Linked DNA regions of Danio rerio. The protein of the gene in region 2 interacts with the protein of the main gene of each other region in a pairwise test. Links are inferred from orthologs where the notes say so. Each region holds a gene or a part of one and is shown on either strand. Other genes may lie near its edges. The genes, in order: prrc1 and sec23b.

Region 1 (3,831 bases), on a different chromosome or scaffold from region 2:
AAAGTGATGTTTTTACATTTGTGCATTTCAAGTTTTGTCTCAAATTGACTTTTCTTACTTGTCTGGAAAGAGTTCAGCGATGAAGTTTTCCACAGAGACCACAGGCTGCTTCTCATGAATAACAGCAGCACGGCGAAGACTGTCAATGCGCTCCTGAGCTCCCTAAGACACCCATGCAAACTTCAGATTAATATATGTGCTTATATATCATTAGTTGCATGACTAAGTTTCCTACAGTTGTAAACATTTAGACGTTGATAGACACTTTAAGAGGAGAATCTTCCCAAAACTGAAAATTCAGTTATCACTTTGTCACAAACCTGTTTGATTTTCTTTCTTTGGCTGAAAGCAAAAGAAGACATTTCCAAGAAAGCTGGAAACATGAAACCATTGACTTCTATAGTATTTTTTTTCCTACTATGGAGATAAGCGGTTACAGGATTTTGGCTTTCTTCAAAATAACTTTTTTTCATGTTTAACAGGATAAAGAAACCTATAAAGGTTTGGGACCACTTTAGGGTGAGTACATTTTAAGATTTGGGTGAATTATCCTTTAAAAAAGAAGAATATTTACCTTGACCCCTGCAGCATATCCCACTGGCTGTGGGGCAATGTTGGACTGACCGGCTTCTCCTGTCACCATGGCCAAACCAAACACCTCCTGAAATGCATCCCGTACCGCTGCCACCTTCACTTCCTTATCTGACGTCACAACAATGTCCACATCTCCTCCAGATTCTTACAAACACAAACCATTAAATAATGACATATAAACAAGAAGTGCATTTTCAACATCCTGTTCCTACAGCATTTCTCAACTTAGCGATGTAAACATACTCCGAACAGAAGAACCATAGAAATGAAATGCTTTAAGTTTTGTTTTGTTTTTTGCAAATATAGCGGTGGACAGATTTTTGAGATCAAATAAAAAAAAGTGGGGAGCCATTATCGGCATTAACATGCTGCGTTAACGTGAGACTCTTATTGCACGATTGAAAAAATATATATCGCCGTTAATCTATTCTCAAAGTTGGGTTGAGCGCTGGATCTATTCTATGCAAGGTATGATGACTTTCACCTTGATATTTTAGCGCGGATGTATACGTAACCAGTGAGCCATCTGACAAAAAAAAAGTGCACTTCTGAATCAAATCAGCAAGATGCCCTTCTGGATCTTACTTCGAAGACACTACTTACTACATTTACATAGACATCAGTAATGTAGTCTTTTGCCCTAATAGCCAATAATATAATTAAGGGTTTTACATGAAGTGCTTTCATGTAAAAGTTTCCTGTAATTTTGGGTGACTTTAACTGCAGTTTGGCAGTTTCACCTTCACTCACGAACATTTCATTCATGCCCCCGTGACAAACTGGGGTATTAGACGCAAATAAGGAGTAAGGACTGGTGAGAGACTTATGGAAATTAATAACACATGGCGAATGGAAAGAAAAAAAACTTCCGCATTTTGCTTTGTGTGTGTGTGTGTGTGTGTGTGTGTGTGTGTGTGTGTGTGTGTGTGTGTGTGTGTGTGTGTGTGTGTGTGTGTGTGGTCCTTTACTGACAGCCATGTGTGTGGATCTTGTCGGAAAATTTGGCTAAAAGTCCAACATGACGGTAATCGTTTGATCGTGGTGTTTACTTCAATAATGCCACTAATATATGCATACTCCACATCTTAGTTCCATTTCTGTTTGGTTCAGTTATGACTTTAGTCGGATTTAGGTAATCAAAAATAACGGTTTCGAGCTTATGTAGACCTACAGTTCAAAATTGATGTTTAACCGAATAAACAGTTTGTAAACACAAGTACATCTTATTGAACATCATTTATTTTCATCACCAATTATCATAGTAGAACAGTCTCTCAAGCAGTTTGTGATGCATTTTGGAAACAGGAGATGAGCCCCTGGTCTAATGCGCCACCTGGCTTGAGAAACCCATTCTCAAAGACTTACTTTTAGTCAATATTTGGGTAGCACACATAATCTGAATGCCTTCGTCAGAATTCAAATGAACAATTTTAATCTGGATTAATTCCTAGATTACAGTGCGATTAATCTAGATTAAAAAATACATCTATGCCCACATATAATAAAAACTTAAGTAAAATTCACATAAAATCAAACTGAATTTGTCATTAAACCATCTTCGTAAATAAAATAAAATAAAATTCTCTTTTTATCAACAATATAAATCTAAACACCAACATATCATTACTCACTGATATAAGGTGCCATCCCAGGATCCAACGTGGTGATCATGGACTCCACAGAGTGTTTGGTTTTATCCAAGACGGTCTTGACCATTGGGTTTCCAGCAACACCCTGTGATTAAAACACATCTGGATCAGGACATGTTAAGCACACGTATACCTAGCCTTAAGTATACACGTGTGCAGTTACCTTGATGAAGCCCCATAATCCACCAGGTGCGTTGCTGTCCGGAGTGACTCTGGGATCTTCAACATCCTCAGGAAATGTAATGGGTGAGCTGACATCTAACCCTCCAGACACTGGCTGCTGCATCATGGGATTAGTAACAATCCCTGTAAAAACATTTTCTCATCAGCATTGATAATATGGGGAGAAGCAGTGGCGCAGTAGGTAGTGCTGTCGCCTCACAGCAAGAAGGTCGCTGGTTCGAGCCTCGGCTCAGTTACCATTTCTGTGTGGAGTTTGCATGTTCTGCCTGTGTTCGCCTGGGTTTCCTCCGGGTGCTCCGGTTTCCCCCACAGTGCAAAGACATGCGGTACAGGTGAATTGGGTAGGCTGAATTGTCCGTAGTGTACGAGTGTGTGTGAGAACGTGTGAGTGGATGTTTCCCAGAGATGGGTTGTGGCCGGAAGGGCATCCGCTGTGTAAAAACTTGCTGGATAAGTTGGCGGTTCATTCCGCTGTGGTGACCCCGAATTAATAAAGGGATTAATCTGACAAGAAAATGAATTAATGAATGAATGATTGATAATATGATATTTAATTCCTATAATGAAGCTAAGGGGTTAGATCTGGGCCCGAAATCATCCGTCATGTCCTTATGTAGTGTAATATTTTAAAATAATTTAGAAGTGGCAGTCTTTAGTGATTATCTAGTATATCCGTTTAACCTCAAAATGTTCAATTATGTATCAACAAGTTTACATCCCGTGTTCACTCAACAGCTAAAAAATAATGCAGGTTAGCTTACTCATTTCTGCTTTCTTCCCACTTAATAACTGAAAGTCTGTTGTAGTCTATAAAGGATGAGGAAGGTCTCAGATTTCATCAAAAATAACTTAACCTATTTAAGCGCACCGGCACTATAGTTGCCGAAGTTCATAGTTGCCCTTTTCCTTTTATAAGTAATTATCTACAAGTTGTATGTTTAATTTCTCAATGTCAAGCAAGAAAACAACCAAATAAAAGATTTTAAGAAAAAAAAAATAATTGATTTAATTTCTGTCACATAACTTCCTACAACTTCCTACCCCTTATTCCAGGAGGCAAAATGGATGCAAGCCCTCCCAAATAAAGCCAATTTTCATCATACTAAAATGTTTTTTTGTTCACAAATGTACAGTTGAAGTCAGAATTATTAGCCCCCCTGAATTATTGGCACCCCTGTTTATTTTTTCCCCAATTTCTGTTTAATGAAGGGAAGATTTTTTCAGCACATTTCTAAGCATAATAGTTTTAAAAACTTATTTCTAATAACTGATTTATTTTATCTCTGCCATGATGACAGTAAATAATATTTTACTTAATATTTTTCAAGACACTTCTATACAGCTTAAAGTGACATTTAAAGGTTTAACTAGCTTAAAGGGGCTAATAATTTTGTCTCAAAAATTG
Region 2 (4,622 bases):
CCAGGATCAAAAATGAGTAATTATCCTACTCTAAAATCTAGAAAAAGAAGAAGAAAAAAATGATTTAGCCCACATCAAAATATAGCTAATGAGAGCTGTAGACTTGTTACCAATTCATAACTCCTTAATTTTAGCACACACCCACATGGTTCTTTAAAAGACTATGGTAATTTGTAGTAAATAGTGCTTTTGAACTTATATTAGTATTTTTTTCGTTTGTAGAAGGCTAGTATCAGGCTTCTAAACTTCTAAAAAATGACTATGGTAATTTGTAGTAAATTACCATAGTGTTTTTGAACCATAGAAAAGTTTATTATACTGCATATATTAGTATTTAAGCAGTTGTTATTTGTGGAATGTAAGTATCTTATGCTTCTAAATATCTAAAAATTACTATGATAAATAAATAGTCTACTATTAGAATCATAGAAACGTGTATCTGCATATATAAGCATTTAAGCCTCTTTTTTCATTTGTAGAATGCTATCATAATAGTAAATAGCTAGTATAGTGTTTTTGAACAACAGAAAAGTTTAATATACTGCATATATTAGTATTTTTTTTCTTTTGTAGGAGGCTAGTATCATATATAAACTTCTAAAAAACGACTATGGTAATTTGTAGTCAATATATTGCTTTTAAACCATAGAAAAGTTTATTATACTGTATATATAATAGAAAGTTTATTATACCATATATATATATATATATATATATATATATATATATACACACACACACACACACACACACACACTAGATATATAGCTAGTATCATATGTTTTTAAAATGACAACGGTAATTTGTAGTAAATAGCCTACTATAGTGTTTTAAACCATATAAATGTTTATTAAATATATTAGTATTTAAGCAGTTTAATAGGCTAGTGTTATATGCTTCTATGAATGACTATGGCAATTTGTAGTAAGTAGCTACTATAGTGTTTTTGAACAATAGAAAAGTTTATTATACTGTATATATTAGCATTTAAGAATTTTTTCCCCATTAGTAGAACACTAGTATCATATGCTTCTGAAAAATGACAATGGCAATTGGTAGTAAAAAGCTATAGTGTTTTTGAACCATATAAATGTTTATTAAACTGCATATATCAGTATTTAAGAAAATTTTTTTTCATTTGCAGAAGGCGAATATCACATGCTTCTAATATGATAATTTGTAGGAAATAGCTATAGTGTTCTAACCAATAGAAGAGTTTATTATACTGCATATATCAATATTTAGGAGGATCTTTTTTCATTTGTAGAATGCTATCATGCTTCTTAACTTCTAAAAATTGACTAATTTGTAGTAAATATAGTGCTTTTAAACCATAGAAAAGTTTATTATACTGCATATATCAGTAATGTTTTTTTCTTTAGAAATAGTAAATGATAGTAAATCATTAGTAGAGAGCTTATATCTATGCTTCTAATAAACTTGTATTGTAATTGGTAGTAAATAGATTATTATAGTGTTTTTGAACCAAAAACGTTTATTATACTGCCTATATTAGTTAGCGTTTTTTTTTATTTGTAGAATGTTAGTATCTTATGGTTCTAAACATCAAAAAATGACTATGATAATTCTATGGACTCTATGGACGTCTGTTTGAATAGGGTTGGAGCTAAACTATGCAGGGCACTGGCACTCCAGGATCAAGTTTGCCCACACCTGGGCTAGTATCACATACTTCTAAACTTCTATAAATGACTATGGTAATTTGTAGTAAATAGCCTATTATAGTGTTTTTGAACCATAGAAAAGTTCATTACACTGCATATATTAGTATTTAAGCCTCTTTTTTCATTTGTAGAAGGCTAGTATCATATACTACTAAACTTCTAATAATGACTATAGTAATTTGTAGTAAATAGCGTTGTGTTTTTGAAATAGAATAGTTTATTAAACTGCATATAAAGAGACTAAGCCGAAAAGAAAATGAATGAATGAATGAATGAATGAATGAATGAATGAATATTAGCCTACCTAGTATTTAGACATTTTTTTCTGGTGTAGAAGACTGTGTTAACGAGTCAATAGATGGCGCTAGATACAAACTTAAATGGAACTTGAACAACAGCATCACCTCTCGGCCACTCGCGCACACAAACATGCACGACACACACAAACGGAGATAGAGAGAGAGAGAGAGAGAGAGAGAGAGAGAGAGAGAGAGAGAGAGAGAGAGAGAGAGAGAGAGAGAGAGAGAATGAATTTACCCATTCGCTGCAGTCACGCTCATTTCTCCGGAGCTCGGGCTGAGGATGCTGCCGTCTCTCCTCCATATCCACGAGGATGCAGGAGCGCGCAGAGGCGGACGGGGGCGAGCGCACCGGGCCGCCTAAACCCACCCACATCTCACCGGCGATCATACACCGTCACTTTTCCAAACTTACAAGAACTATGCACGGGAGCCGGTGCTGAACAAATTGGGCGGACTCGCTCTATATGCCGGCCTTCCTTCTGCTCATCAGCTGTTGCTGCTTTGGGAAAAGTCGAGGCGACTCCCACTGTAAGGGCATCGGATACGAGCATCTCTACACGATGCGTCCTCAGTCTCCCTGACTCCTCCTGACACTGCCTGCCTGCCTCATTAATATTTGATCTGGTACCACAGCAGCAGAAGCAGCAGCAGCAGCTCGCCTCTTCTAATGGAGAATTCTCCACAAGCACAGCCTGGATCCAAGGCGCCGGAAAGTCCAGCAGAAGACATCGCCAACCTCACGGACGAAGAGCTCCTCCAATGGAGCAAAGAGGAGCTGGTGCAGCGGCTCCGGAGGTGTGAAGCCGATAAAATGAGCGTCATTCTGGATCACAGTAATCTGATTCGGGAGGTGAACCGCAGCCTGCAGCTGCATCTGAACGAGATCCGGGGGCTGAAGGTGAGCAGATGAGATCATGGGCGTCTGGAGCACACCTGCGCTCTCCGAGGAGGCGCCACAAGCTCTTGGGTGCACATTATTCATCCTGTAGGAATAACGCCTACTACTGTTGTCTTATGTGCCTGTTTTTTTATTTAAAGCTTCCAAACTTGGCAAGAAGCACACACATTAGTGGCATTGTTTTGATACCAGAACCACATTTTCGTTTTTTTTTATTTATTTTTTTTATATATTGCAGTGTTAAGACACCTGTTGTGTATGAATGTGACCTTTTTCTAATTTTAATATTGAATGTTGCAGAATATTTTTACTCTAAATGATCTAGGAAGACATTATCACAAATGTATTTTTAAACCAGCTGATATTTTTGTCTGTAAAATGCAAATTTGGATTTTTCACATATTTATTTACCTTAAAGGGATAGTTCACCCAAATATTACAATCTACTTACTATTTACTCATCTTTGAGTGGTTTCAAACCATGCATCCATACCAAACCATCATGAGTTTCTTTATTCTGTTGAACACAAAAGAATATATTTTGAAGAAAGCTGAAAACCGTTAACCAATGACTTCCATAGTAGCAAAAACAAATACTATAGAAGTCAAGGGTTACAGGTTTTCAAAATTTTTCTTTTGTGTTCAGAGGTAGAAACATTTGAGTGAACAAGTGAACAATAAATAAATAATGTCAGAATTGACATTTTTGGGAGAACTATCCCTTTAAGAACATGTTTTTAGAAAAAAGATAAGATATTTTAAGTTTTATAATAATAGTCCATACATCTTTCACAATACATCAGTCATACAATATAAGTTGTCATTTGCTACAAATATTTCAATGCTCTGAATGTTTAATCACATAGCAAAATTTCTCTGGCCCAGATTTGGCCCACACAATCAGAATTACAGTGCATGACTGGACCAATTCTGGCTATCAGACAAGGGCCAAACATGGACCATATCTGGGTCAAGTCTTAGCCAAATTAATGAACTGGGCCAAATACACAACTAGTTTAAACTACTTAATTAAAATGAGCTGAAACAACACAATTTTTGAGATTTCATTTGGGACAACTTAATTTTTTTTATGTTCAATCCACATAATTTTATTAGAAGTGTCAAGTTAACTTAATCGATTTGTGTTAGGACAACACGAATGAATTGTGTGGAACCCTGCATTTTTTACAGTGTATGTTGGTGTGTCACGACTGCAATGAAATTCATAAACCCAGGAAGCATTGCGCTTTGGGCACGTTTTGAATGTTTTTTTTTTTGGAAGTGAACTGATTGGTAGATTTTTTCTTTACCCAAATCATTTAAATGTATTTAAAATGTGGGTCGAAAAAGACTAAACCTATGTGACCCACATTCATTCATTCATTCATTCATTCATTCATTCATTCATTCATTCATTCATTCTTTAGTTCGTTCCTTCCTTCCTTCCTTCCTTCCTTCCTTCCTTCCTTCATTCATTCATTCGTTCATTTGTTCATTCATTCATTCATTTTCTTTTCGGCTCAGTGCCTTTATTAATCTGGGGTCGCCACAGCATAATAAACCGCCAACTTATCCAGCATATGTTTTACGCAGCGGATGCCCTTCCAGCTGCAACCCATCACTGGAAAACATCCATACACACTCATTCAAACACATACACTAGACAATCTAGCTAACCCAATTCACCTAAACCACATGCTTTTGGACTTAGGGAAACCGGAGCACCCAGAGGAAACC

What was found.
Region 1: the proteins of sec23b (region 2) and prrc1 interact in binary tests that used the Homo sapiens proteins (3 or more experiments, as listed by UniProt). The two-hybrid records come from large-scale screens. The link is inferred for Danio rerio from reciprocal best matches to the Homo sapiens genes SEC23B and PRRC1.

Annotation. Positions count from the first base shown.
Region 1 is NC_133185.1:18,457,022-18,460,852, reverse strand, and holds part of prrc1 (protein PRRC1), read right to left. Parts: intron 2,550-3,831; coding exon 2,407-2,549; intron 2,329-2,406; coding exon 2,226-2,328; intron 739-2,225; coding exon 575-738; intron 163-574; coding exon 59-162; intron 1-58. UniProt on the Homo sapiens protein: May act as a regulator of the protein kinase A (PKA) activity during embryonic development.
Region 2 is NC_133181.1:7,710,298-7,714,919, reverse strand, and holds the start of sec23b (protein transport protein Sec23B), read right to left. Parts: upstream 2,975-4,622; 5' UTR 2,886-2,974; coding exon of another isoform or gene 2,655-2,885; 5' UTR 2,227-2,654; coding exon 2,223-2,226; intron 1-2,222. Other genes in the region: ccdc85al (coiled-coil domain containing 85A, like), read left to right, coding at 2,655-2,885. UniProt on the Homo sapiens protein: Component of the coat protein complex II (COPII) which promotes the formation of transport vesicles from the endoplasmic reticulum (ER).